Pelodiscus sinensis: one gene and its partners. The protein of the gene in region 1 purifies or fractionates together with the protein of each later gene. This does not show direct contact. Links are inferred from orthologs where the notes say so. Each region holds a gene or a part of one and is shown on either strand. Other genes may lie near its edges.

Region 1 (10,258 bases):
TCTGTCAGGTGATCTTGACTGGTTTGGCCAAGAGGCTATCAAATGCCAGCACTTCAGCTGCACTCCCTCCACTGCTACTCATCTCCTGCCCTTTGTCTTGGACCTGCCCCCCCCCCCGAGTCTCCTGCTTTCTGGGTAGGGAAAGAAGGGGTGCTGTTATCAAGATGCCCCCTCCCATTCTGTATCCTTTCTTCACAAAGAGAGATACAACAGGACTTGGAATGGAGTTTGCTGGCTGCTTTTGGGAGTGGTGCAGGGTCAGGGCAGGTGTGACTCTGCCTTAGCCACACTGCACCACCACCCAGGAGCCACCTGTGGTATGCAGTGCCCAGCTGGAGCCCACATCCTGAAACCCTACCCCCGTCATGACCCCCCCATGGACCCCAAGTCCTTGCCCTAGCCCCAACCACCCCTGTATCCCAACTGCCTGCCCCAAGAGCAGCTCAGAACCCCTCTCACTCTCCAGTCCCGTTAATCCAAGACCAGAGCCTGCACCCTAACCCTCTGCCCCAGCCTCATCAAAGTGAGTGAGGATGGGCAAGAGAGGGAGGTTGGAGGTAGCAGGGGCGGGGCCTTGGAGAAGGGACAAGGGTATTTATATATGAGGTAGATCTTGGATTGCACTTAAATTCAAAAAGTGATCTCGTGCATAAAAAGGATGGAGACCACTGTTGTAGATAGTTCTCTGAAAATATCCACTCAATGTGCAGCAGCAGTCAAAGCTAATGGGATGTTAAGTACCATTAAGAAAGGGATAGAACAGAAAATATCAAAAAGCTGCTATATAAATCCTTAGTATGCACACTTCTTGAATATTGTGTGCAGCCTGGTAAAAGATATAGATAAGGGCTACTAAAATGATTGGGTGTTCAAAACATTAAAATGACTGGGACTTTTCAGCTGGGAAAAAAGGACAACTAAGGGTATATAATAGAGGTCTATAAAACATTGACTGGTATGAAGAAGAAAGTGAATAAAAAAGTGTTATTTAATCCTTAACATAAGACAAGAATTAGGGGGTCATATAATTATATTAATAAGCCTCAGGTTTAAAAAAAAACAAAAGGAAGTCTTTCTTCAGACAATATACAATCAACCTGTGGAACTCTTTGCCAGGGGATGCTGTGAAGGCGAAAACTATAACAGGGTTAAAAAAGGACTATTAGCCAGGGATGCAACACCATGCTCTGAGTATCTCCAGCATCTGTCCGAAGCTGGGACCGGATGAATGACTTGAGCATTGCTGCTCTGTTCATTCCCTTTTCCCTCTTGGACACCTGGTCTAGGCCACTGTTACAAGACAATATACTAGTCTGGATGGACTATTGGTCTGACCCAGTATAGTCATTCTTATGTAAAAATAATTATAATAATATACGTGTTTAGTACAGAAACTTCACGAGATAATGACCTCTCAAGATAGCAACACTGTGAGATAATAGCCATGGCAAATAATGCATTTTAAAATTCTTGGCCTACTAGGAAGTATTTATTTTTATAAATTCTTCCAGTCACAAATCTAGCATTATGGAGCAAACTCACTGAAACACAGTCCAATAAAGAAACGATCCTTTAACTTCTCCCCCCCACCCCCCACTATACCTCCACATTGTTGTCCTCGGTCAGTGGAGACTCAGCTTTCAGAGCTGCTTTCATGTGAATTCACCTCCCAGAAAGAGGTTACAGCATGACAATCCCACATATTGTAAGGGTATGGTTTCGTATTAGTGACTTTCATGCAACTCCAGGTCTAGGTCAGACACTATCTCAATGTGGGCAGGTAAAATGATGTCTTGTCTATCTTTTAGCAGCACAAACTCATCCCAGGGATCAGGGTTCTAACAGCTGGTTTTTTCCCCTCCCTCGGTTTGCTATATTATCATTAATAAAAGGCATTGCAATCATGGCAAGTATCACCCTCAAAAACACCAGCAGAGAACCATATAAGGCTAAAGCAGAAAGAAATCTGTAATAGTCAAGGCACAAAGAACTCCATGTTACTAATTCAAATTTGATGGTGATACTGCCCTTTAGGTACAAACACTTGATACTGGAGTAAGCACTTCTCTTGCTGTTATTTCAATCTATTTAATTGAATATTATTTTGCCAGTTTTAAAATATGTGGTCTGTATTCTTTTGTGAAATAATTGGTGGAATTGGTTAATTAGCAAAAAAACAGATGATATTTTCCCTCCCCAATCTTGCTATGAATTCTGCATAAATCCCACTGAAGCTATGATTGTGGTATTAGAGCCAAAATTAGTTTGCCAGAGTTATTTTTAAGCGACTTCCCCCCTCTCTTCTTAGAGTTACAGTACTTGGAAAAAATATCAGCTGCCTGGTAGCCAGCAACCCACCCAGTTCCCCAGTTGAGGGGATTCTTAGTAGGGTTCTTTCTGGATTTATTTTCTGGGTGTCCAGCTTGAAACACTGGGGTCAGATGTGCGAACTATCACCAGAGCAACTGACATTCAAGGCAGTTGTGCTTTGAACATATGAAGTATTCAAGTCTCAGTATTCTGAAAAAAAAAGGCAAGCACTAAGCATCTAGTCAGGTTCAGATGCGAGATTATGAGTGTTTGAACAACAGCCTTCTCAAGCAGCAAAGGTTGAACAGTCCAGATCTTAGAAATATTATGTTGATTAAAGTGGCACGATTTTGAAATGATCAGGTTATATCAAACCTCATAAATTCATATTTTCAAGATAAGGCTATGATGTGCATAGGCTGAATCCCGTTGAAGTCAACAGTCTACATGCAGGTGCAAGATACAGTTGCATGGATCCAGCTGCAGCATGTAGGCCTAAGCCACTAGCCAGATATATTTTTGATGTCACTACAAATTTTTTTATAACTACTTTTCTTCTCTTTTACTTATTTAATTAAGACAAGAGAGCCAACACACTGTTGTAACAAGTAGGGATGTAAGCGACTAGTCAACTAGTTGCTTCCTTCCTCCCCCCCCTCCTCCCCCCCGCAGCCTTTATTAGAGACAGCAACGGGGGCAGCAGGAGCCAGTGCTGGAGGGAGCCGGCTTAAAAGTATAGCCCTACTTATAGTATAGCAAAGAACCCAGTTGTCCCCCTCTAAAAACATGAAGCAGGGTGTGGGTGGAGGAAATTGACCAAATTTAAAATCTCTTCATAGTTTCTGATATAATACATTTTTTAAATGACTATGATTTTTGTCACTCCAGAGCAAGGAACATAAAAAAAAATCTGAAAATAATCCTGGTTAATCTCCTACACACACTCCTTAAGGGGTGATATCATACGTTTTATTTTTAACGTTGACAGGGAGGAATTGTGTAATATCTTCCAAAAGAAGTGTAAGATGCTCCAGGATTTCAGTCAAATAAAATTTGATTAGACAAGCACTTGAGAATATAGTCTAGAGAGCAATCCTACAATGGCAGGAGGATAGACCAGATAATCTACAAGATATCATACATCTCTAATTATGTGATTTTCAGAAAAAAGTAGCAGTTCTGTGCAGCCTGCTAATTGAAATAATATAAACATGATTTTAATGTAATGAGATATGATTTGTCTGTATTATATGTTGATTGCTTTTATGGGTCACAAAGAGTTCAATTAGCAAGATTCCAACTGCTCCTAATTTTAAATACGTTATTTATCATGTTTCCACTTGGTTAATTTCAAATTATCTCAGTCTATTACATTTCAGTAGCTTTGAAACATCCCTGCCTTTGCCCCTCCCCCCCAAAAAACCCCTCTCAGGCTACATCTACACTTCATGCTTCTTGCGCAAGAAGCCTTTTGCACAAGAGTTTTTGCACAAAACCTTTTTGCGCAAGAGCACGTCCACACCTCAACGCACATCGCAAAAGTACATCGAAAGAGAGCGTTCACACTGAATGGATGCTCTTGCACAAGAAAGCTCTGATGGCCATTCATAGTTGGCTTGGGCCTTTGGTTCACAGAATGGATATCAGAGCACCTGTGCTTTTTCCCTCTGGAGCATCCACACTTGCCTTCTTGCACAATAGCTGTAGCGTTAAAAGCAGTTATGCCTCAGAAAAAGAGGTTTACCTACAGTGGAAAAAGCCCTTTGTTCTGCCATTTAACTGCCCATTTAATAGCGCAAGAGTTCATTTGAAGTGTGGACGCTCTGCAGGTTTTTGCACAAAAACAACTGTTTTTGCGCAAAAACTTTGTAGTGTAGACTTAGCCTCAGCCTGTAAGGAACTTAAGACCTGAACCTGAGTGCCTTTGTTACTGAACCTGAGTGCCTTTGTTACTGCAAAGGCTATTCTGTTTAGTAAGTCTTTGGAGAACTGGACTCTGAAGGCCTGCTCTTGGTCACATTGCATTGTTTTTTACATCATTTGAAGTTGGATTGGGCCTTTGGTGCACTTAAAGATGAGCACACTACTATAAAGCTGTATTGCTGTTATTTTATGAATTCATTATAGCACTTTAACATTAAGATGAGGTTGCATAAAATGTAATTCAGTAGAAACTGACCTCTCCTTATTTTATCATCCTGCTAACCAATACATTTTCTAGTGTTCTTCATTTCAAGTTTTCCCCCGTACTGTATCCCGATTTGTCCCAAAGTACGTTGAGAGGAATGTGTTAGGTCACAGGTAGAATGTCCACCTGTCCTTCATTTTGTACTGAATATTCCCTATTATTACATATATCTATAATTATTGGCTCATATACACCAATAATCATGCAAAAGGACTGTACACTGTAATACAATGTGTTATTTGTATATCGGTATGTGTCACACAGGGCCAGCTCGAGCCATTCCTGCGTCCCGGGCAGCAGGCACGCAGCGCCCGATTGCAGCTGTAAGGGGTGCCGCGTGGCACCTGGTCCCGGGCATGCGGCACCTGATAGGTTGGCACCCCGGGCAGCTGCCCAGCTAGCACCCCCCTCCCCGTTAATCCGGCCCTGGTGTCACAAATAAAACACGGGGCAGGTGCCCTTCAAGACAAACCTTCTCCCATAATTTCCAAGTTGTCCTTTATTTGCGACATAAAGGGTCTGTATATGGGCGTGAGAAAAATGATCACAGCCAGGGACCTGATCTTCTATCTCAGGAACATCGGCCGCACGTATTCCCTGTTGCCAAACCCCTTTTGTACTGCCCCCTCACCCCCATCATCCAATGCAGGCACCAGACCAGATGACCCATTTTCTGCAGACTCCCGGTCTCATCAGTGCGAAATGACAGGCTCCGCAGCGACAGCTGGCTAGGGGCGCGGCTCCTGACGTGCGCGTGCGCACTACAAATCCGAGCGGGCCCCAGGGCAGGATGTCCCTCCTTTCCCAGCAACAACGGTCCGGCTTGGCACTGCAACAGCTCCGGGTATACAGTGCGGTCAGAGAAGACTACATGTCCCAACATGCAATGCGCCCTCCCAGCGGATTCCCTGAGCGTTTTCGCCAAAAGGCCAAGCCGGACTACAATACCCGGCATGCCATGCGGCCAGAGACTTGCTGCATTTTGGGAGATGGAGTCTCCGCACCCAGCCGGTGCGCTAACCACACCTCCCATTGTCGCCTTGGCTGCCTGCCTCTCGCGACGGCATGTCAACAATAACCGCCCGCTAGGGGCGGTGGCTGCGCTTCCCCGTATTCAGAAAGGGCCTCTGCGCACTCTCCCCGCGGCCCGGCTCGCCGGGGCTGGCTAAAAGGGGCGTAGCCGCCGCCATGGCCGGTTGTTGTCAGTGGCTGGCAGCGGGTTATGGCGACGGCGGTGAATGAATTCTCCGGGCGGCAGAGGGAAGAAGAAGGGCTCAGCCGGCTCCAGCTCCCCGCCGCAGGCTCCCGGGGTCTCCCCTTCCTCCCCGGCCGGGCCGGCTCCCCCCCTGCAGCAGCAGCAGCAGCAGGCGGCGGCGGGGGCGGCCGCGGCGTCTCCCCATAAGCGGAACCTCTATTACTTCTCCTACCCGCTCTTCGCTGCCTTCGCGCTGCTGCGCTTCGTCGCCTTCCAGCTCGGGCTGCTCTTCGCCTGGCTCTGCGAGCGCCTCTCCCGGGGCGCCCTCATGGCCGCCAAGGGCAGGGCCGGGGCCGGCGACGCGCCCGAGCCCGGCGGGGCGCCCGAGACCGTGCGAGCCTGTCACAAGCGGGCCTTCGAGTGCATCTCCGTGGCGCTGCGCATCGACGAGGACGAGAGAGGTGGGGGCGCGAGCGGGAGCCAGGGCGGGTGGGGAGCGAGGCCTGAGTGGATCGGGGGGGGGGGGGGGGGCCGTTACTGGTGGCGATTCCCTTGAATGGGGGGGGGGGAGGAAGGTCCTAGCCCTATATCCGGGTGTTATGCGCCCCCTCATCCTTGGTCCCAGCTGTGCCCTGTCTGTGTTGCACATTAGTTTAGCATCCGTGAGGCGCCTCTGCCTAGAGAAGGTGCTGCTGACAGCTGATGGCTCAGATGGGCTCAGGGTTTAGGTCACCCTTAATTTTCTTTAGGATCAGTGCCAGTCCTCAGATCCTACTAGTGAGCCAGCAGGCACCCCCGCCCCCTTTGGCAAAGCTCTTGGGGTGGGTGGAAGTGTCCATGTTTTCACCCCCATGCATCTCCCAGCCCCATCTGCCACATGTTCCCCGCCCCCACACCAACAGGCATAGTGGGACTAGAGCTGATTCTGGCTGCCAGCTCTGACCTATGTGCGGAGCTGTCCTGCTCATAGGACAGTTCAAAACGGTTGCTCTAAGCTTTGGGGCACCCTGCAGTGGTTCCCTCCCTCCCCGGCAACTGTCCTATGGGTAGTGTGGTCACCCACACTCAGGTTAGCCTGTGGGGCTGTGGGCTGGCTGTGGCTGGCAGCAGGGGCTGAGCATGCCCATACTCACCCCAACAGCAGGAACCATAGGGAAGCAAAGCTGTGCAGCAGCCTGCTCCACTCTGCTGCCATCTCCCAAGCCAGCCCTCCCTTGGCTAGGGCACTCTGCTTCCTGCCACCACGGTGAAGCTGCGGGACTGGGCTGGCCTAAGAGATGGCATTGGAGCAGAGAAGCGGCTGCTGCATCACTCCACTTACCTACAGCTCTTACCATGGTGGTGAGTGAATGTGTGTGTGTGTGTGGGGGGGGGGAAGGTGGGGTCAATGATCCTTGCTGCCTCTTCTTGCTAGGGCCCCCAGGTTACATCCTGCTTCTTGCTAGGCCCCTCAAGGCTACATCCCTTGCAGGAAGCGGCTTGAGGGAAGGGCTGTAATGGGAGGGCAGTGGATGGAACAGGAGCTGGACTTGGGGGAAGGGTATGAACACCCATCCCTCCAGGACCTCACGGATGCAAATGCCACACTAGGCACGTTACAAAACGTATTAGAGTTAAAGCTTAAACATGAAGTCTTGACCAGTGGTACTAGGATTTCAGCCTAGGTGTGTAGCGAAAGGTCTAATTTAATTATTTTTTAAAGATAGTGATACGTCATAGCTATGTAAAATAGATGTGGCAAAACTACATTTAAATTCAGTGCTTGATAGGAGATTGAACCTCATGTTTAGGTGTGAAGGGATAGCTTTAGTATACACAATTTTAGCCTTCACTCCACTTTATGCCTCTTCTTCACACATTTTTTTGTTTTCAGTGTTAGCACTACAACAGTTGAAGGATGCAGTAAGGTTATCTAGTTTCTAAAAGATGTGCACAAATACAAGGTGTTTTTTCCCCAAAAAAATAAGTCTTTGAAATTGTCTTCTGAAAATTGTTTATTTTGAATTTAATTCATAGACCTTGATTAAGGAGGGGAAACTCATGTTCATATTCAGAACTAAGTTGTTGCATCATTAATTATTTAGGCATGAATAATAAGGAACAGTGATTTATTTTGGGGTCTAGCATAAGATTTATAGCATACTCTTATTTTGTAAATTATTTGTGTGATATGTATTCTGTCTTATATGTATATAAGACAATATTTAGCAATTAAACTCATAACATTGTATTTTCCTCTAAAATTAAGTCTTATAATTATTTTACTTTTGCTTAGATACTTAAACAACTCTGAAACAACTAATTCAGAATAAAATAAGAAGTTGAGGAAAATTTTGTTTGAGATTTAAAAATGAGAACAAACAAAAGCTGTTGCCAGTGTATTTGACTGACAACAGTGGTTCTCAACCTCTTTACCACTCTGGGATGCATTCATTGCTACCTGTAAGTCCCTGAAGATGTCACATGGGCTGCACAGCTCTGTGTTGATGGGCCTCAGGTTGAAAATCACTGACTTCAGTATCCGTCTACTTGCAGCAGTACAGTCTTGGCAGTGTTCAAGGAGGAGAGTCATGGGTACTTTGATGGGCTTTACATTTTCATGGAAACATTCAGCATGATTTTAAAGTGTGAAGACTTAATGAAACTATGAATCTGCATAGCAGCAGGAAGTAAAAATTGTTTTCTTCTTTAAAATCAAAATAGAGACTGTATACAGACTGTAAGTTTAGTATATTATGAAAGGGTCAGACTTGGTTAGCTCTGCAGCAATAACTTGGGAGACTTGTAAATCCGCGCTTCATTTGAATGTTTGATCAGCTTCATTTACATTCCTCTTTCCCCTACCTTGTGGTCACACCCACTCCTGCACCCATTTCATCATTGTGGGTGGTTGGCTGGTGGTCCATGGAAAGGTTTGCGTTGAGCAGGTTTGGCCATGGGCCAAAATTTTTGAACCACTGCTGTATGTAAATGGAAGATTAGGAAAGATGTTAGGGAGAAAATGTATGGAAACAAGCAAAAGTGATTCAGACTTGTAGCAGGTATCACACAAAATTATGAACTCAGTGGTGGTGGGGTTCTTTTTGGTTTTGTGTGTGTGTGTTTGACATTGATCAGCTGTGAAGTCTATTTAGAAATGTTTATGAAGCAATATTTGCCCAATTGTGTAATTTTACTCACCTGTGTAATTGTGCATAGCACTTGTTTTGCATATCTTGCAGAAAAATTCCTTTTCATTATAATCTACTACAGAAAGTAAGTGGCCCATTTCCATTTTAAGCAGGGCAAAAGGAACAAGCTGTTGAATGGTATAAGAAGGGAATTGAAGAACTGGAGAAAGGAATAGCTGTCTTGGTTATTGGTCAAGGTAAGCTGATTTTGTGTATGTGTAAAGTTATACCTTTTTTATGACTATCACTTCCTGGCATTTTTTTTCACCCCAGGCCTATACTGCAGGGAAAGGTTGGCTTAAGATATGCAATTCCAGCCAAGTAAATAATGTAGTTGGAGTTGACCTATCTTAAGACAGACTTTGGTGCCATTCCTACACTGAGAGATTGACAGTAGACATGCTCTTGTTGACTTCTCTTATTCCTCGCAACAGCGAGGAGCACTGCAGTCGATAGTGGTGCTTTCAGCTTTTGATTTAGCGGGTCTTTACTAGACCCACTAAATCGAACAGCAGAAGATCCACCGCCGCAGTGTTGGTCTTCCAGCAAGTCTAGATGTGGCCAGGAAAGTGGGAGAGTTACGCACCATATTTCATTCTTCAGGTAAGTGGTTGGTTTGTAGAGTATTGTGGAGAAGCACATGCAGAATGTTTTTAATGCAGCAGACATTCTCTCCAGATAACTACTTACCTCCATTTACTTTCTCCATATTATGATAAGCATATAATGTATAAAAAGCCTGCTACTCTGGCTTTAAATTGATATGTTGTATATAATCTGAAGAAATATTTCTAAGAAGTCAGAGTTCCAATGTGTTGGTTTTTTTTAGGGGTTTTTTTTTTTTTGGCTCACTGATTTTATTTTTTTTATTTTTATTTTTTATAATTTAAATTCGCTCATTTCTGCAGTAACTTCTTGAGGGGAAAATAGTAAGCATAGTCCTGTATCTTAAAATAGTGAAACAGATCATAGTTACCAATATAGTACTAGCCTTCTCTATCAACATTTGGCAGAGCTGTGTCAACTTTTAAGAGCTTAGACAAGCTTTTAAACTAGGAGAGCTCTGTTGTAAGGAAGTTGCCATAGTGTTTGTAACACTATTACTGATGTTTTGAAATGTGGACGGACACTGTTTTTCTCAGTTTTACCAAAGTTCAATCACTTATAACCAAGAGGAACCTCTTGATTCCTCTACTACATTTTTTTATTCTTTACCACCTTTTCCTTTGTGTCCCTCATTGTGTACAGCCTTCACAAATTAAATGGCAGCATGCACCAGTTTGGTGTGGGCAGTCAGAGATCTGCACAGCAACACTTAAGTCTTCAGACTTCTACTTCCAACTTTGTGAAGCAAACAGCCAATTTCTAGTTGTTTATTTTAACTTAAAATATTTG
Region 2 (9,829 bases), about 11 Mb from region 1:
ATGGTTGGGGACCACTGCTCTAATACATCTGTTAGACTATAAGGTGCCACAGGACTCCTTGTCGCTTTTGCAAATCCAGACTAACACGGCTACCCCTCTGATACTTAGCTTAGTCCTATTTTTTTTTAAATTGGCATATGAACAGTAAGTGCTGTTTCTCTCAAGAACTGGATTCTCGATTACTATAAATCAGCAGAGCTCTATTGGCTTCAAATTATGCTAAGGAAGATTTGTCTGTTTTGAAGCAAAAGTAAGCCTATTAATAGCCAGTGGGCCAGATCCACAACTTGTGTAAATATGTCCCTTATTGGGAATCTGGCTCAAGAACCGTTAAACTTATCCCTTAAAACAAGAAGCTAATCCCCTTGTGAGGGTGAATAAGCAATTCCTTATATGCTATACCTTCATGCTGTACAATTGGCCAGGTGCCATACCTCTCAGTGTGCCACGGCTCAAATATAAGATGCAGTGTGTAATCCAACCAAAGCAACGAACATAAGAATGCAACTTGGTTTTGGAAGCTTAATGGCGTAGAAGCAAATATTGCAGCACATTTAACTCTATGAAAGCTGCTCTGTTTCATCATTTGTTTAATTCTGAGAGCATATGAAGGTTTTGGAAGACGGTGGAATGGGGGTGAGAAGGTCAGGGAGCATCCTGAATTTCCCCATGGCATGTGGAGTATGAAGAAGTGCTATTGTGTGCAGTGGGGTTGAAAGGTGCTACTTGGATATGGATGTGGAATTAGCAGGGTCCATCTCTGCCCTCCCTATTTGAGCATATGATGTGTATGTTCCTGATGCTGGGGAGCCTGTCAATGACATCATCATAAAAATAGGGGCCTCTGGTTTCCCCTTCGTGCTGCACCCTGGTGGCTGCTCGGCATCAACCAAGTGACTTAGTTCCAAGCTTGTGGTCATGTTTGGTGGGGTAGCCTGTTTTGAGGTTATCCACGTGGTTCTTCACAGATGCTTGGGGTCTGTTGTTATAAGTATCTACCCATGGAGATGCAGCTTAAATGATCTCTTCATCTCTCCAAATCAATTTTAATCCTACTGGGTAGCTTCAATCCTATTACGTTTTTAAACACTATAAGTAGTAGCAGATTTTTCTAATGTGGGAGAATTATTAATATAATGGAAAAGATGGGAGAAAAAACAATAGCTTTGCTGATTTGCAACCTAATTTCTTTGAAGGTATGTTTGAAGAATACTAGCAATGATTTTGTGAAAAGTGTGACTGATGCAAACCAGCTGTTAGCAAGGTATACATTTTAAAAAGTGATATGAAAAAATGCCTTTAAAACCCTTTAATTTTCTCTCGTTAACTGAGTAACAGATTGTTAAAAATCCCCAGACAATTCAATTTTACTCTCCCTAGGGTAGATGTTGTGAGTGTACTTTCCCCAAATCTGTATTCTTCATACAAAGTAGTGTAGTTAAATGTCTGCTTTGAATGGAAAAGTTAAATGTCCTAATATGTACTGCATATCCATTTTTTCTATAACTTCGCTTTCCTTATTTCTAATGTCATCAAGATGAAGGGTGAGTAAAACAGCACATTGTTGTGCAACAGTTATCATCAGGCCAAAAATAAATAACATGCCCTCAGTAAAGGGTATTTTAGAAGTATGGCGTGTTTCACTGGATTATTAGTTTGCCTCCCTCTGAAACAGTAGCTTGTATCTTCGGAGGCTTTCTTAGCAAGTAGTCATGGGTGCCTAATTTTCACTGCAATGAACTGATTTAGTTATTTGTAATTTTCACTGAAATTAGTGTATTTAGTTACCGTTGTCTGCTGCTGCTATGTATGCCTTATAAACCATTACACTGATTTCCAAAGCAACTATTTTGATGCATCCTGGGAATTATCTAAAGGACTTGGGTGTTTTGGGGGAGGATTAGTTTGGGGAAAATCATATATGGAGCCCATGTAAGAAAAGGTGGATCATTCCTGTGGCAGATCTGATAAATGCCACGATTAGAGATGCAATACTGGATTGGATGAGGGACTATTTATGCCATTAAGCTCCAGAGGGGTAGCTGAGTTAGTCTGTAACAGGAAAAACTTAAAAAACAAGTAGTCTAGTAGCACCTTAAAGACTAACAAAACACGTAGATGGTATCATGAGATTTTGTGGGCACAACCCACTTCTTCAGAATGATTTGCCTAGCCACTCAGGTCAAATTTGATGTGTTGCAGGTTACCCTAGTTACGTGGGAGTGAGGGATAGGTACTTTTATTTGATTTGTCCCCCGCCCCCCCATTTATTTACAAGGAACATACAAAGGCCTATTTCCCCAAGGAAGACACAAGAGGCAGGGTTTTCTGTTTACTTTCCCAAGCCTCTTTAGTCAGCCTCCTTCCTAGGTTTTTCTCAGTCATGGATGCACCAGGCAATTGCCTGTTCTGCACAACCATCCCCTTAGTCAGTAATCCCTCAGTCTTGCTTCTTCCAACTGTTGGCAGCCTTGGTTAGATTTGTTCAGCAATAGGTGACCTGGGCTAGTAAGTGGGCTGCATGAGTGGTCCCAGTAGGCCGCAAGATAGTCATAGCAAAACTACACTATTTTGGGAGAACATTTTGGTTAACTGCCCGTATGTACCTAGAATTTGCAGGATGTGCTGACTGAACTGTAGCAGTGCTTTGATTGGATGCAGAGGGAGCGCACAAAGCACAATAGTAGATCTTTGCCCAGCAGTAAAAGCTACATTTGGATGACAGTATAACTGATTGAAAATGTACTGGAAAAAGCAAAGACTTCCGTTCACAAGTTGATTAATTAAGGCACTTCTATTGATTAAGAGGACAAGAAGTGTTTGTTAAGGCAGCTGCACAAATAAATGGATTTGATTCTTACAGATCTACAACTGCAATTTCTGGATTCTACTCAACCTCTATGTAGCTTTTATAGATGCCTGTCTTATAAAACAAACAGTCGAATGGAGTGAGGCACTACCAGCAATGGATTTGCTATGTGATAAGGACAGAATAGAGAATTTGAACACAGAATGAAATATCAAATGATGAATGAATGAAGGATTGATTCAATTTCTTCATCATAACTAAGGATTTGACACAATCTTTGTGGTATGTTTCCTGGATGAAGGAAGTAGGAATTCATCTTTTGTGCCTCTTGGTCACAACAGTTAGTGTTGAACACAGGCTCTAACTTCGTGGGTGCTCCAGACCCGGAAAAAAAATAGCAGGTTTAGTTTTGTGTTTGCTGTATCAAGTCCTGGAGTGTGTTTTCCGGTAGACATATGTACGTGCTTATTTTGATTAAGTTCCTTATAAGAACTTCATATTCTATCACTGCAGTCCTACAGGACAGTGAAAACAGCGTTTGCACCAGGTGCAATATATTTTGAAAGTTAAGTGGCTCAGTGGTTAAAAGTTGTATTAAATATGCCTGTGTTTTAAAATTGGAGTTCTGTTAAGCTTCATATCCAAAAAGCAAACATGACTTGCACAAGCCCCATTTCTGAGTATCTTTGGAGCATACCAAGTCCAAAACTTTTGAAACAAGCCTACTCACCAGAACTGTGTCCTTGAGTATCTGAAAGCATGACAGCCTGCAGCTCCCAATGAATGGAGACAGAGAAGGGTGTTCAGTGGAGAGCTTCTGTATTAGGACACTGGTCATTAGCCTGAATGACAGCTTAGCTTTCATAGTTTTGGAATAACATTTTTGCATTGTTGGGGTTTTGCTATTTTGAGAAGGAGCGCACTCCCATACACAGAATTCATCCAAGTTAGATAGGACAGACATACAATCAGGGTGGGTATATAGATAGGGTACTTACCTGAGTCCTTCATCAACATCATATTTGTGCTTGTGGTCCATTGGTCCGGTCAGACCTTTGGCATCTGGAAAAGGTAAAAACAATGCATCAGATCTCTCTTTCACCTGTATGAGTGTGTGTTTGTGTACTGTAGTTGTTCAGTATCTTTAATCCTCCCTTCCTTCCTACCCTACTCTTCCTACCTCCCGCCTCCAGTAAATAAACCGATAGTTGTAGTAACATCAGTGTGTGCTCCTTTTTCTTATTAGGTTAAGCTTTGAAAGATGAGCTTTCCAAAAAAAGTCTCTGAGAGAAAGACTGTTAACTCTTTGCAATCTTCTGAGGGACAAAGTCCTGAATTTGAGAACAAAAAGAAAATTTAAAAGTGTCAGCTCTGCCTAAGAATCTCAGGCTCTGTTTGACCTGCCTCTTTCTTTTTAAAGATAGAACTGATTAGGCTCCATAGGCTCTTCTCTTTTTAGGCATTACTTAGCCCATAATGTGCTAGGGCATAGCTTTGGCAAACACTGGCACTAATTAAGCACTGTGGGTGATCCCCTTGGTCAGGACAAACTAAGAACAGTTTCGCTGCCCGTTACTCAAATAAGAATAACATTTAATTACTCCCACATTCAAGCAAAATGCAGGACAATGTAGCACTTTAAAGACTAACAAGATGGTTTATTAGATGATGAGCTTTCGTGGGCCAGACCCACTTCCTCAGATCAAATAGTGGAAGAAAATAGTCACCACTATTCTTCCACTATTTGATCTGAGGAAGTGGGTCTGGCCCACGAAAGCTCATCATCTAATAAACCATCTTGTTAGTCTTTAAAGTGCTACATTGTCCTGCATTTTGCTTCAGCTACCGCAGACTAACACGGCTACATTTCTATCACTATCCCACATTCAAGTGATTTATAGCCAAGATTGATCACTTGGGCAACACAGGTCTGTCTGCTGGATACCTAGGCAGAGTAGGTATGTTTATGTCAACAAAGTCTGATCTGGAAGCCTTTCCCTCATGCGTCCCTGCTCATTACTGGCTGTCAGGGGAAAGCTCATTCCCACCTTATTTACAAATCGTATTTTGCAATTATTAGGTTGGCCAACATCACTGAAAGGAATCCACTGAAACTGGCATAAAACACAGCTGTATGTGCCTTCTTTCAATTTTAAGTAAATTTCCAACAAACTAAATGGGGAGCCCTGCATGTTACCAGTTGACCACTGGATGAATGATGGGGAAATTCAGGGAGTTGGGGGGGTAGGGAAATCTCTGTTTTTTTTTTCTTTTCACTGGGAATGAAAGGGGGATGGCCTGACACCAGGGCAGGTCCTAGCCCAAATGATGCTCCACGCAAGGAGTGTCTTCAGCCCCCCACCTTCATTTGTTAAACTTTTGAATAACTTATGTTTTATTGGCTTGGTAGCTTATTCCATAAGTTTGATGCATGATCATGTATGATGACAAAGGTGCACCAGAGGTTCTGTCCACATAGTTCTCAGAAAGTCTGCAAGGTTCCACGATTTTCTACAAAAGGTCCAAAACGCTCTTAGCGGTCAGTGAGAAATGAATCCAGGGAGGGAATACCTGAAACATGATACTTCCGACATCCTAGTCTCCCTTTTGCTGTTAAGAAAAGAAAAAAAGCCCCCGCCCAGCACCTGCCCCTAAAGCTGCCCTGCCTAACACCAAAGTTTAAGCCAAGCCCCAGAGTAAGACGCTGATGGACTGAGCTCGTGTGAGCGGACACACTCCAACGCCGCCCAGCCCGCTCCTTTCTGCTGAGACGGCCCCCGGCGCCGAGGGCTGTGCAGCAGGAGAGGGCGGCTGGGGCTGCCCCAGCCAGAGTTCCGCTCCCCGACATGTCACGTGGGCTCCCCCCGCGCTGCAGTCACCGCCACTGGCCCGCGTGGTGCAGAAGCCAGGCTGTGCCAGCCGCCCCCTGCCCCGCTCCGCTCAGGGGCTGGATCCTGCAGCGCGAGCCACCCCGCCGTTCCGGGCCCCCGCCTTCCTCCCTAGAGCAGGAGGCGCGCGCCTGCGTCCCAGCTGACCCCGCCCTGTCTCGGGGCCGGGAGTGTGACGTAGGCAGCTGCGACGCCCGGAGCGGAGCGTGCAGCTCCTGTACGTCAGCGGCGCGCGCGCGAGGCCTCGGCGGTTGATCGTTCAGGCGCTGCTGGGTTCGCGCCGCTTCCTCGCCCCCCCCCCCCCGCCGCCCACCATGTTCCCTGCCGCCCCCGGCTCCCCGCGCACCCCGGGCGGATCGGCCCGCAGGACCCTCGGGCCCGCCGCCGTCTCCATCCCCCGGCCGGGCGGCAGGAAGAGCCTGGTGCCGGCGGCCGCTTCCCCGGGGCTCTTCTCCCCGGCGGGGAGGCGGAGCGGCTCCCTCTCGGCGCGGTGAGTGCCCCGCGGGGCCTTAGCGCCCCACACCGCGCGGGGGGGGGGGTAAAGCGGAAACTGATGCGGGGGGCACTTAAAAACCGCCCCCCCCCGGCTCCGCGGAGTCACCCCTCCCCCGGCTGTTGGGGATGGATCAGTGTTATCGATTAACCCGTAAGCAAAAGCTTTCAGGTTAGTGCTACAGACCACACGACCCCCCCTCCCCCCCACACGACCCCCCCTCCCCCCCCAGTAAACTGTTTAGCAGCCTGGCCAGCAGCCCAGCACGCGCTGGTTCCCCTGCTGCGGCTCTGCCTTTAAAGTGCATTAGGAGCCAGGCGGGCAGCCTGGCTCGGTTCTGTCTTGTGCCGCATCCGTGAGCTCAGACCCCCCTGTTCCCGACGGGCTGCTGCCACGCTGAGCTGCTGCCTCTGTATCAGAGACAGCAGCATGGGGCAGCAGGCATCTGGTCCATGAGGGGAGCTGTTTATTAAACTGGCTTCCCTTGTGGACTAGCTCCCGCCTGGCACCCAGCACTGCTGCCTATGCTACAGAGGCAGCAGCACAGAGTGGCAGGCGGCTCCCTGGGAGAGGGGCTGGAGCACCCTGGCTGTTGGCCTTACCCCCGGGAGCTATAGAATAGTCAAGTAATCAATAAGAATTCATTCGGTTAATTGGCTATTCAGTTAACTGATATTTAACATCTTTACTCTGTATCCGAGTCAGCAGGCTGCAGGTGGGAACTGGTCTGCGTGGGGAGCCAATTTTTAGACCAACTCTACCTGCCACCTCACATCCCTGCCTCTGATACAGAGGCAGCAGCAATACAGGGTGTCGGGGTTAACCATTCACATCCCTAGTTCCAGCCCGTATCAACAAACTTCTTTTCTTTTTCCCAAAATTAGTTTTAAACTTCTAATAGCAGTAATAGCTGCACCTGGCATTGGTCAACTGCTCTCTTACCCAACAGGACAGATAATACTATCTTTATTATTATCTAAAAGGCTCACAAACAAAGGATTTTTGTCTTCTAAAACTTTTTCCAGCTAAAGAGAAAGGGAACAAATAACGTTGAAATGAAAATCTTGTTGAATGCATTACAGGCAGTCCCCGGGTTACATGGATCCGACTTACATCGGATCCCTACTTACAAACGGGGTGAGGCAACCCCACACTAGCAGCTTCCCCCCAGTAGACCAGGGAGACGCGAAGCTAGCACCCCCCCCCCCCGCCCCCCCAGCAGACCAGGGAGACGCGGAGCGGCTTTTCTCAGCAGACACCTCAGCTTGAGAATAAAGGACTGAGGGAAGTGAGGTGTGGGAGAATAAAACTGAGCTCTGGAGAAATGTTTCGCTAGAGTTTCCCCTACTATATATACCAGTTCCGACTTACATACAAATTCAACTTAAGAACAAACCTGCAGTCCCTATCTTGTACGTAACCCGGGGACTGCCTGTACATTTCAAATGTTTTAACTCTTTTCTTTCTTTTCTATGTCTTTAATAAAAAGTTGAAAAGACTTTGTGATGCATATTGTGGTACTAAACAGGCTGAAGTCACTGTATGCCAAACCCGAAACTTTGTTTTTAATATTTTATTGTTGGATTGTCACTGGTTTATGTTAACACCTTTGGCCCATTATTCCATTCAAATTAATATAAGAAGGGAAACCTCCTTTAGTGACTTGAATGTTAGCTCCTAAAGATATGCACTTGTGCCTGTTTTTCACAAACTTGGCCATTCAATCAAGTATCTTTTAAATAATTGAAAATGAAATAAGTATATCTTAAAATTGCAGGAGACATAATGGAAACAAATCAATCACAGTTTATGTGTATATTTTTTTTAGAGCAACACCCACAAGAGTATTACAACATCCTTCAGCCAGTGAAACTATCAACTATGACGTTAAGACTTTTGGATCCTCTCTCCCTGTTAAGGTTATGGAGGCCCTAAGAATGGCTGAAGGTAAGGAATGATTACATGGGAATTAGATCAGATAAAGGAAATACGGTAATCTCTTTATACTTTTAAATAGATATTTTTGAGCAAGGAGGAGGAGAAGAGAACACCTTTTTAATTGTATATAAGAAGTCTCTTGCTAGAGCATTTATAAGCTTCAAAACACGTAAGACTGTAATTGTTCATGATCAGAACAATTCAGTTATTTTCTTTCAAATGTCAGTCATCTGGATATCAATTCAGTACTGGACTTTTTGTGAAAAGCAAAACTATTTAATTATATTTGGAGAGTACTGTACAGACCAAGCACAACAAAAACAGTCAAAATTAAGGTTGCTGATCCATATATTCAGTTGTTTAAATATTGCCACTCACAGTTTTAGGTAAGCTTAAGAAAGAAATGTTTAGGCCACTGGTAACAGTCATTTACAAAGTCTTAAGTTAAAAAAGAACAACCATCCTTACTTTTTCCTTGTTTTGCACTTCATGTTTGATATCAATTGTGCTGAAAAGGTGCATTGCACAGGTCTGTATTTTTATATGTAATAGGAATGTATCCATTGATCCAGATTCTTTAATTTCAAAACAATCTACGATATATTTGAGAGCGTTTGTGCATGAGTCTGTCTCTCTATTTAAGAATTCTTCCTAAACGGTAAGAACTAGTCCAAATTTGTATGCAGCTTCCACTTATCATATCTTAAACCAAGGTAAGGGTTTGGTTGTTCCAGGGACACGGGCTGTACCCAGAATGGGATTGCTTCTCATAAAACCATATAGACAAGAGAGAATCACAAGGCAGGTGAAAGGGGCCAGCTAGGGATATGTTACCTCGTCCAAGACTGCCCCAGTTGTGTGCCTTTCCCCTCACCCCCAGACGCCCTTTAGGCAGGACTGGGGAGGGGGTTGAAGCTCCCACCCTCCTTTTCGTATGGGAACATTGCTGGCTGTTCCCTTTTGTCAAGAGAGGAAAATGCGCAGTTTGTTGCATTCTGCACTCTGGTTGGTAGCATGGGGCAGATGAACCCGTACCTGCCATAGCAGGGGTGGGGGGGACATGCATCTCTCCCTCTGCTATGCCCGCTGGAGCTGCAGCATCCATGGGGAGGCACTTCTCACCTGGCCCCAGTCTGCTGCAGTGAGAGGCGGCTTTGGGCTAGTCCTCTCTCCCCGAGGTAGCCTGCACACTGAACCCTTCATTCCCAGCCCTACCTCAGAGCAATGATTCAAGTGAGGGAAAAACAAAAATTACGTGTGTTAAGGACCTGAGCAGTGCCAGGTAAATCTTCTAGTAACAAATACAAGTGGCTTGTAAAATTCAAGACTTGCGAATTATGCTAATGAAAATTATTAGAATGAGATAAAATGGGTCTGTTTCAAGACTGTAATGCACAACTGTATGAAAAAGTCTTCCTTCAGAAACAAAACTGAACTAACATTAAAAAAATACTTTTCAATTATAAATAGCTGAATCTAGGAAAGATGAAGGAGCTGGATCCTTTATGGACAAAGTTAATGAGAGTCTTATTTTTGAAATTGACACCTACAGGTTAGATGGTTAGAAGAATATTAAAAATGCCTAATATGGTGTCTAAAAGAGAATTGTGTGTGTCAAATTCAAAGGACTGAGTAAAGAAATTAAGTTGTATATAGGTTTGCCTAGCTTTTTTATCTTTCATTTATTTTGTAAATATCTCA
Region 3 (10,060 bases), about 28 Mb from region 1:
TGGTGAAATAATATATATGAAAAGCATGCTGGTCTCCTTTTTAGATGCTTTTGCATAGTGCTTGGTAATTCATACTTAAGAACACCTTCATTTAAATGAGTACTTAAACACGATAGCTATTTGGTTCAGGTAAGCTCGATAAGATTAAACAAAAATCCAAGAAATATTTGTATTTTTCTGCTTATGTGTTCAACTGAAAATAGAAAGAATGTTCTTTAAAAAAAGTGAACTAGATGACATTATGCATACTGCACAAACCCAGGAAAACCCAATTCCATTAAAACTTCAGCAAATACTGAACTACTAGAAGAATTTAGAACGCTTGCACCTTTTTAGCATTACTGAATATTGGTCTCAAGTATTTACATGGACTTCCCCTTCTAGCTTTGCTTTTGAAGATAGTAACTTCGTAGTCTATTTAATCAGAAGTAGAGATGCAATACCTACTTGAGCAAAATGCTACGTAAAATTCAATGTCCTTATTTATAATTAACTTATAATAGCAGTTAGCTCAGTTGCCCAATTACAGTTTTAATAAGCTCAACTTCTAGTCCATATTATTTAGTGAAATTTCAAAGCGAAATACACATTGAAGGCCTTTTTCTATAAAGAACCCCATCTTGAGACCATTCCAAAATATCCTCTCACTTCCCCACATCCACATCTCCTTTGTCCATACCAAAGAAGCATATGATGCTGGTTCACAGAGTGTCACTTAAGACAAGTTTCACAGACTAGCTCATACGCACAAATTTCCTTTAAAGAAAATCCTTCCTAGCACATCTTTTCTTTTTAACACATATTCTGTCCCTTCATTAAAAAGGCCAGGGAAATATTTTTTTTAAGATCCCCTGTTGTGCAGTAGATTTTAATACAAATATTGTCACACTAGGGGATGCTCCCTGCTTACTCAGCTCACCAACTCCTTGCTCTCTGGTCATGAAAACCCCGCTTGCTATGCTCGCCAATCCCCCACTTTCATGGCCAGAGAGCCTGATGACATCATCCTGTCATGTGGCAGGAAAAGCTTTTGTTTTTGTTTTTTGAGAGAGAGCGAGAGAGAGAGAGAGAGAGAGAGAGTATAGCACTCTGACTGCTTAGCATATGTTGAACATATCAGCTAAACAGAAAATCCTCCACCCTCCCCCGATTAGGAATGGAATGGTAAATAATCCTATATTGCAGCTGCTTTTTAACAGTAAGATTATTAAGTAGGCAGAATGTGCACGGAATTTATATGCACCAATATGGACATGTTGTGTCACACATCATTTCTGTATTGGAGAACACAAAATGCATTCCGTACACGGACCATAAAACATTAGAAGGAACATTGCCTGAGAAGTAAAGAAAAGTTACCTAACCTCTTCCTACACACATGTATCTGAAAATCTGTTAGATATTTAAGTGAGGGACTGATCCAGTATTATTATTACAGAAAAATTAGAGAAAAAATATTTTTCAGTTTACTTCATATATTTCACCTCTTATGAGGATTGTTTCTTCTGTACAAATAAGGGTGTCCCACAAACAGAGAAAACCGCAGAACCACAAAAAAATTGCAAGAGAACTGAAGGACCAATGTAATACCAGAAGCTAACAAAACAAAATTACAAAAATTGGAATTTGTCCAGAACAAAGAAAAACCATCTCTGAAAGAAGAATGGGTTCATACTGACCACTTATGGTCAAGATCTTGATAATTATGTTTCAAAAGGAAATATTTTTAAATATATTTTAAAGAACTGACAAATAATGCAAGACTGCAGAAGCTGGGAAAAAAGCATGCGTGCAGGTAGTTCTAAGCCTGAATTTTTTGCATTGATTAAATGCAGTGTAAAATAGCAAATATTCTAGATCCAGTGTATTGCTCATTACAGATTCTATTGAGACATTCAGAACAATTCTGAAGTTACTAGCTATTTCTTTTTTTGTTGGTCATTTTGTGAGTACAGATAAATTCTTTAGACCCCATTTGTTAAAAAGTGGTTATTAGCCTTACCTATAGTTCTCACAGCCTCCTTGTGGTCAGCTCTGAAAAGATTTATTCGACCATCTTCTCCAACAGTGACAATTTCTGGATTGTTGCAGATGACCCCTGTACATGAAGCTCCACCACAGAAAGGGATATCCGGATCCACATGATAATGAGCCCTCTCCCATCGTTGATTAATAGATAAAGTCTAAGCAGTAAATAAAGAGACTGTATCAACAGTGCTAATTAACAATCCTGCAACAGCGTTAGAAACCAAAGCTTTTGAAATATGTAAAGAAGTTAGATCAGAAACTAGTTCTGAAATAAACAAAGCACACTGCATTATTTCAAGAGTCATTCACATCATTACAGATCAGAGGATAGCTTTCCTTTTTAATCACCAATGCATAGAGTCCTGTGCAGATAGACATTTCTATCAGCAGATGTGAATATCCATGGACAGACACAGTGATCTTTCAGTGCTCTATTCTTAAGAGTCAGTGTGACCAATAGACAGGAACATTATCTCACAGTGTTAAAAAGGGGTAACTGGGTAATTGTGTAACTGTTGATACAGAGCCATCAGTGTGGAGTGACAGCTAGCTCCCCGGGAGCAAGGCAGGAGTCTGCGTGTAATCATTAATGGTAATCGATAGTCCAGGCCTATCAGTTAACCATGTAAACAATTATACAGTTACATCCCTATATCAGACTATTCTACACATTTTTTAAAAAATAACCTAATTCCTGATTTACTGAATTTAGAACTTATTGAGTTTAGAGATATTAAATGTTGATTAATCAACTAATCAAGTAGCTGATGGAGTTCCCATCAACTGCTCAATTAGTCGATAACAGGGGGCACTTGCAATCCCGCTGCGCCTCTCCCTTTAAATGTAGAAGAGCCGCAAGTGGCTCTTGTACATTTCAGAGAGGCATGCAACAGTAGGGATGCCTCTGCCTCCCCTGCTACTCCGTGGAGACAGTGCTGGGGCCATCTGGCTTTAGGAGGGGGGAGAAGCAACTAGTCGAGTGACTACTTGACTATCTGATAAGCTTATGTATATCGGGTAGTTGACTAGTCACTTATATCCCTAATTGAGTTCAGCTGCGTTATGTTTTGATAGTTCTGAAAAGTCATGCATTTGAGAGCCCCAAAAAAACTTGTACTAGAAGCAACAGTAACTGAAACCAAGAGAAAGTTATGTCCACAACAAATTATTTACCTGATTATTTTGATGGTGACGGAAAATTGTTACACTTCCTGTTGATGAAGCAACTACAATTCTCTCCTGGTCAAAAAACTAAAGAGAAATATCTTAAGCTTGTTACACAGTTTGAGCACATTATCACAGAAGCATTACTATGTGAATCTGTGAGTCTTACTGGTTGCTAGATAATTTCAGAATGTACATATAAATTTCCAAACATAATTTTTTTGTATTTAGACAATATCCCCCTAGCAGACATTAGTTGATTCTCAATATTCTGATATCCTACTGATACATTTTCTAACAAAGTGAAAGGAAAAAAAAAAAACAGCTACTGGATATAACTATTTTACCTGCATGTCCATAACATCACCATGGTGTCTGATATCGCACAGCAACTGTGGTTCTCCTTGATACTCCCCACTGGTGCCCACATTTCCAAAGTCTCCAACAGACCAAATTGAGATCTTGTTTTCCTGTATGACAAGAGTAGTGAAACAAGCTTATTTTAAGACACACTTGCCATAAAAGTCAGTTGAGACAAGATGGCAGAGGTAGAATGTTGTGCTACAAAAATATTGTCAGAAAGAAAAGCTGGTCCAATAAAATATATTACTTCATTCATGTCTAATAGCCTGAGACCAACAAAGCTACAGCTACAATAGAAACAATAAGTCAACTCAATTTTCTCTCTTCCTAAAGAGACTAACAAACTATTACATTTTGATAGAGATAGATTAAATATACAAGAAAATTAATATTCCATATTTGGTGTGTATTTACACAGCATATTAATCTCGAAAAATGCTAAGCATTAATAAAATCTACATCACCAAATGCAGCCAGTTCCAAGGAGGAGAGAGCCAGTCCACACCACACACGGAAGAGGAGGAAATTTTGGTCATTAAGCCAGGCAAACGAAACACACACAGAGACTGTGCAGCAAGGAGCTTCAGCCTTCACGATGAGAAACTAGGAGCTTAGCTGTTAAGATCTCACACAATTAGCTACATAGCGCTCAGCTTATTTAACTGAGAAAGCTGAAAGCCCGTGTACCACCGGTAGGATATGAAAATACAGAAAACCACGCCAACCCCGTGGCAGGGAGGAGGGAGGCGGCTCCGGGCACCGCTCAGAGAAGAGGGGTCCGGGGCACCGCTGCAACACGAGGCGCAGCAAGGGGCAAACGCGGCCTCGCCCGGCACCCCCCGCTGATGACACTTGTTACAAACGCGCCGCCCCCCACAAACGCTGAGCAGCGGCCCACCCGGGAGCCCCTGGCAGCGCGGAGCGAGACGCGCTCTAATAACGGCTCGAGCCCACGGGCAGGGGCGCGACAGCAGCGCGGGGGCGGATTTAGAGGCTCCACGGGCCGGTACCTCGTTGTCCCAGGAGCCGGTAGCGAAGAGCTCGGGGGGCTGCAGGGCGGCAGCGGGCACCGGCCGCCAGCGCGTCTTACTGATCTTCTGGGACACGAATTTGGCGGAAAAATCCTCCATGCTGGCGGCGGCAACGAAAGGGACAAGCGCCACCGAGAAGCACAAACTTCGTCCGCAGCCCCGATAGGCTCCCGCTGCCGTCACCCCGCCTCTTCCGCCCAAGCTCTCCCCGATTGGCTGAAGCCTCCCGGCAGACGGCAAGAGAGGAGGTACAAATCTCTGTGGCAGCAACTACGCTCAGAGGTGGGCGGGACATGACGGGAGTAAATGGAACCTTGCCTGGGGCGGGGACTGCACTGTACGCCTGCCTGTTTCCTAGGCCAGCTTCGTGCTCATAGGTCATTTTGCATTTAACCCATATGGTTCCTCCAAACCCTAAGGCTGTGTCTACAGTGGCATGATCTTGCACCAAAGCACACACTTTTGCATAAATACATGCTGCCTGTCCACACTGGTGGGGAGTTCTTGTGCTAGAACACTGAGTTCTAATGTGTGAACTCAGTGCTTCTTGTGCAAGAACTATGATGCTCTTGCTCAGGAATAAGCCCTCTTGTGCAACTGTTCTTGCGCAAGAGGCCCGTGTAGACAGGCAACATGAATTTCTTGCGCAAGAAAGCCCTATGGTTAAAATGGCCATCAGAGCTTTCTTGAACAAGAGAGCGTCTACGCTGGCACGGATGCTTTTGCGCAAAAGCACATCTCTTGCGCAAAGGCACATGCCAGTGTAGACGCTCTCTTGCACAAATGCTTTTAACGCAAGAACTCTTGCATTAAAGAGTATTTCTGCAAGATCATGCCAATGTAGACACAGCCTAACAGAGCTTCACAAAAATCTCAAACAGGATCCTGCTGACCACATTTACGGTGTAGCATGCCAACTCTGGACCTGCAGATTAGCCATTAATACCACAGGTGAAAGTGGACTAGTACCGTATACTACTAAGAAAGTAACCACCTGTTGGGATTTGTACTTAGCTGACATTGATGCTTTTAGGTCTATTACTGACATAGTAGGGAGGGGGGAGATGAGATGGTGGGAGCAAAAAAAAGCAACTACCCTAGAGCCCAAGCAAAATACAGGACTATGTAGCACTTTAAAGACTAACAAGATGGTCTTTAAAGTGCTACATAGTCCTGTATTTTGCTTCAGCTACACCAGACTAATATGGCTACATTTCTATTACTACCCTAGAGCCCAGAAATTTAAAAGGGCCAGGTGTCCTTTGAGGATGAGAATTGAGAGGTCAGAAATAGAGCGATCACTGAAGTGTTCAACCAGAGGTGATAAGGCATTTTTGTATTTTATCATTTTCCTGTGTGAGTTTGAGAGCATAATGTTTGTATGTTTTGAGTCACATAGTTCATTCACTGGATGAGGTATATCGTATGTTGTAATAGGCATATGTAGGATCCCTATATCTTGAAAGATGTGTTGTGTGGAAAGTTGATCACTGTAGTAGTAGAGATATGTGTCTAGGTTTTGCAGCTGTAATTCTGGCAGGCTCTGGTGCCACTTTGAGCTGATATTTACAAAAACAATGAGAAATCCTGTGGCACTTTAAAGACAAACAGATTTATTTGGGCATAAGCTTTTATGGGCAAAAACACTCTGCCCAAATAAATCTGTTAATCTTTAAGATGCCACCGGACTTCTTATTGATTTTAAGTTGGTGTGTCCTAGTGTAGGGGGAGCTTATTTTTTATGATGATCTCAGAAAGGTTGGGAAGTTGTTTGAAGGCCAGGAGTGGAAGTTCTGGAAATATAGCTTTTAGGATGGAGGTCCCCCATTGAGTATGGGTTGTAATTGTCTGAAGATACCAGGTATGGGTTCCAAGGTGAGGTGGTAGGTATTGGTCACTGTAGCAGTGGAGATATGTCAACAACATGTACTCCCCTCTTTTTGTCCTATAACTGCAGAGCAGTTAACAGGCCACTCTGCCTTGAATTATACTTTATTTTGTGACACTGACAGACCAGTCAGTCTGTTTACGACCCGTAAGAACTTAACAGAAGACACTAGTGTCAAATAGATGTATTCGACTAGCAATAATCAATTCATTTATTTATAGTAACAGAAATCAAAGGTAGGGCATTCATCTGTATTTACATGTATATCTTGTCAGAAGTTTAACAATATAAACAAATTAGCTTGTAGATACTATTTTGCAAGCTAGCAGTTCATTCCATCACTGCTCTGATCCTGAATGATGAACTTTGGAAGTCACTTGTCTGTATATTGATCTTCTAATCACTTGTATTTCTCTTCTTTCTTTTTCCTTTAATGATTAAATCTATTTTTAGAACCTTTAGTTTGGTGCAGCTGCACCACTGTTAGGTCTGTAGCATATCCATAGCCCTGACTCATAGCTCAGTCTAATGTTAATTTGGTATTTCCTAATTTTGCAGTTAATTTAATGTAGATTTTTGTAGGCCATTTAAAAGCAGAAATCCTATGTTGCCCTAGGGTTGGATGGAGTTTTAAACTATACTCCCTAATGTTATCTAAATTAAATATCTTAAAGGAATGAGTTGATATGTTGCTAGATGCAATCACTCTCATAGCCCCCACATTTCCACTCCACAGTTCACCGTTGTCACTTTCCCAGTTCCCAATTTAGGGAGTCTGTTGTCATTTTGGGGGCGAATTTAACTGCTTGGAACAAGGGCTATAAGCCTTAATTAAATGTCAAACCAGTATAAATTCTCAGACAAAAAGTACGTTAAGATGCAGTAAAGGCTGGGAACATGCATTGGTAACTTAAGAGAAGAAAAAAAATTAGAAGACCTGTAATAATCACAAAAACAAGCATTATAAACTCTTGAAATTCAGAGAAACCCAAACATGTTAAAATACAAAAATGCAATGTAGGCACCCAACCAACCTTTACTCGGCCCTGTAATGACAGCATGCAATAATCATATAGTTATGATGGTATTTGAATGTCTGATGTCCCAGACGAGATTAAATTAACTTCTGTTGAAACCTTAATTTGTTTTCTTTTACATATTTTCCCCCTTGTGGTATCACTACAAAACAGCCTTAAAGTTCTTTTCTGAAAATTTCCTTAGTTTTTTTTAATCATATATAAACACTAAACTTTCTATTGACAAGTAATACTGGTTACTCTAATACATAATTTACAATTGAATTACAATGAAAAATGTGTTATCTGGCACTATGCTAACTGGAAAACTTTAACTGCCCCCAGCAACAATACCACTTCAGGCACGTGCACCTGACTCCTGCCTGTCCAGCCAGCCGTTGCAGGGCTTCTGACAACCTGCGCTGCCAACTGACATCATCAGCAGGTGCCTCCTTCCCTCTCAGCCTGCCTCAAGCTGTCAGGAGCTAGATGTGTCAGTGGGGCAGGGTGATACATTTTGTTATCCGGCATATTCACACTGGCAACCCGCATTCTCCACATGTGCTGGATAACAAAGCTTTCACTGTACTTGCTTAGAGGTCTGTGTTAGTGACATCTATGTTATGTAAAGGGAGAGCCTATTCCTTGAGGCCCATTGTATGTGTGTGCACTTTAAGATGTCCCGAATGCACCTGCCTCAGTTGTTGTGCAGACAAGATAGCAATGCCATGTGAAGTCTTTCAAGTACTGATATCTAAGCTAGCATGCAGCCATAGAATCTTTAAAGGTCAGTGACAAGTGGACCAAGTAGTCTAGCAATGAGATACAGGCAGTCCCCGACTTACGTCGGATCCGCAGTTACGAACGAGGCTGCCCCGAGTACACGGACTGCGGGACCTTGCGGTCCTGCCGCCCGTGTACTCTGGGGCTTTCTCTGCGTCTCCCTGGTCTGCAGACCAGGAAGACGCAGAGCAAAGCCGCGGAGGGGCTCGGGCAGCGGGGCAGCCCAGGCACGCCTGGGATGCCCTGCTGGCCGAGCCCCCCCGCCCCGCGGCTATGCAAAGCCTCGGGGAAGCTGGCAGCGGACTTGGGGACGCTTGCGGTTCTTAAGTTGATTCTGTATGTAAGTCAGAACTGGCAGTCAGTTTCAGCAGCGGCTGAATCTGGACGCCAGTTCCGACTTACATACAGATTCAACTTAAGAACAAACCTACAGTCCCTATCTTGTACGTAACCGGGGACTGCCTGTACTCTGTCATGTATTTAACTGTCCTCAAAACACTGACTCATTACAATCAATAGAATGACACAGATTAGCTGTACAGCAAGGGTGGGCAATAATTTTTGATGGGGAGGCCACTTCAAAATTTTAGTAAGTAATCAAGGGTTGCACTTTTCTATAGAGGGGGTGCGGTTCTGGGATGGAAATTGAGTGCAGAAGGAAACTTGGGGCAGGAGACTGGGATGTAAAAGGTCTGGGGTCTGAGAGGGAATTTGGGAGGAGGGGGTTGTGACCTGGGGCAAGGGATTGGGGTGCAGGATCTGGGAGGGGGTATGGATGCAGGTCAGGTTTCTGGCTAGGGAAGGGCGTAGGAGAGGGTGCAGGTTCTGGGAAGGAATTGTAACCTGGGGTGAGAGACAGGAGGGTGTAGAGCATTTGGTGACCTGGTGCAGGATTCTGGCCTGAAGGACAAGTGTAGGAAAGGGTGCAGAATCCGGGAGGGAATTGGAACGTGGATGGAGGTGGGGTGCCTATGCAGCTCCCAGCCAGCAGCACTTTCAGGCAGGGATACAGCCCCTGACCACTCAAAGCTCCATGTGGCTCTATGCGCTGCAGAGGGAAGCTTCATGTGCTGCCCCCCAGCAAATCAGTTTCCAGCCAATCGGAGCAGAGAAATGTTGCTGGAGGCAGAGGCAACATGAGAAGCCTCCTTCTCCCTTTCCTACTCCTGCAGTGCAGAGAGCCAGAGGGAGCAATCAGCTGCATTGAGCAGAGGTGTTCCGTATCACGGGGTGGGCCACAGGCCACATTAAAAGGTTTTGTGGTTTTATCCAGCCTGCAGGCCATATCTTGCCAGTTCCTGCTATATAATCATAGTAATTACACAGCAATCAATAATGTCCCAAGGTACACATTTGCCCCCTAGGCATGGTACATATAATACTGACCTACAAGCATATATAACTTTTGCATTCTTGGACTCCACCGAGACTTAGTTTTATCCGGTTTTTTCAAGGACACTGCAGAAAATGATCATGTTTGTCACTCATCTACTGCCAGGATGGAAGTCACAGAAAAAGCTGTAAACTCCACCTTCGCTGTCACAGTCCATTTAATAACTATGGGCCAGCCCCAGAACCACAGCACTTCTGCACATTCTGGAGGAGCCTGGCATTAGGTTCAAACTTCACATCTCTGCCCTTGCCTGTATAACAGATTGGCCTGAACAAAGCCCCAAATGTCAAACACTCCAGTCTTTGCTGGAGTGAAGAGTGGGGTTGTACCCGCTGCTCCCCCCTAACCCCGACTGCCTGTCCCAGCCTCTCCCTATGCAGGCCTCACACATCCT

Evidence for each region.
Region 2: the proteins of SPAST (region 1) and NUP133 purify together in Homo sapiens (affinity purification with mass spectrometry; 3 studies listed by BioGRID and IntAct, counting the BioPlex papers as one, with this or other methods). This does not show direct contact. The link is inferred for Pelodiscus sinensis from reciprocal best matches to the Homo sapiens genes SPAST and NUP133.
Region 3: the proteins of SPAST (region 1) and NUP43 purify together in Homo sapiens (affinity purification with mass spectrometry; 3 studies listed by BioGRID and IntAct, counting the BioPlex papers as one, with this or other methods). This does not show direct contact. The link is inferred for Pelodiscus sinensis from reciprocal best matches to the Homo sapiens genes SPAST and NUP43.

Annotation. Positions count from the first base shown.
Region 1 is NC_134713.1:134,313,548-134,323,805, forward strand, and holds the start of SPAST (spastin), read left to right. Parts: upstream 1-5,404; 5' UTR 5,405-5,736; coding exon 5,737-6,154; intron 6,155-8,973; coding exon 8,974-9,060; intron 9,061-10,258. UniProt on the Homo sapiens protein: ATP-dependent microtubule severing protein that specifically recognizes and cuts microtubules that are polyglutamylated.
Region 2 is NC_134713.1:123,319,210-123,329,038, forward strand, and holds the start of NUP133 (nuclear pore complex protein Nup133), read left to right. Parts: upstream 1-5,936; 5' UTR 5,937-6,011; coding exon 6,012-6,187; intron 6,188-8,018; coding exon 8,019-8,137; intron 8,138-9,829. UniProt on the Homo sapiens protein: Involved in poly(A)+ RNA transport. Involved in nephrogenesis.
Region 3 is NC_134713.1:106,457,291-106,467,350, forward strand, and holds the start of NUP43 (nucleoporin Nup43), read right to left. Parts: upstream 4,794-10,060; 5' UTR 4,686-4,793; coding exon 4,566-4,685; intron 3,663-4,565; coding exon 3,540-3,662; intron 3,280-3,539; coding exon 3,202-3,279; intron 2,184-3,201; coding exon 2,003-2,183; intron 1-2,002. UniProt on the Homo sapiens protein: Component of the Nup107-160 subcomplex of the nuclear pore complex (NPC). The Nup107-160 subcomplex is required for the assembly of a functional NPC.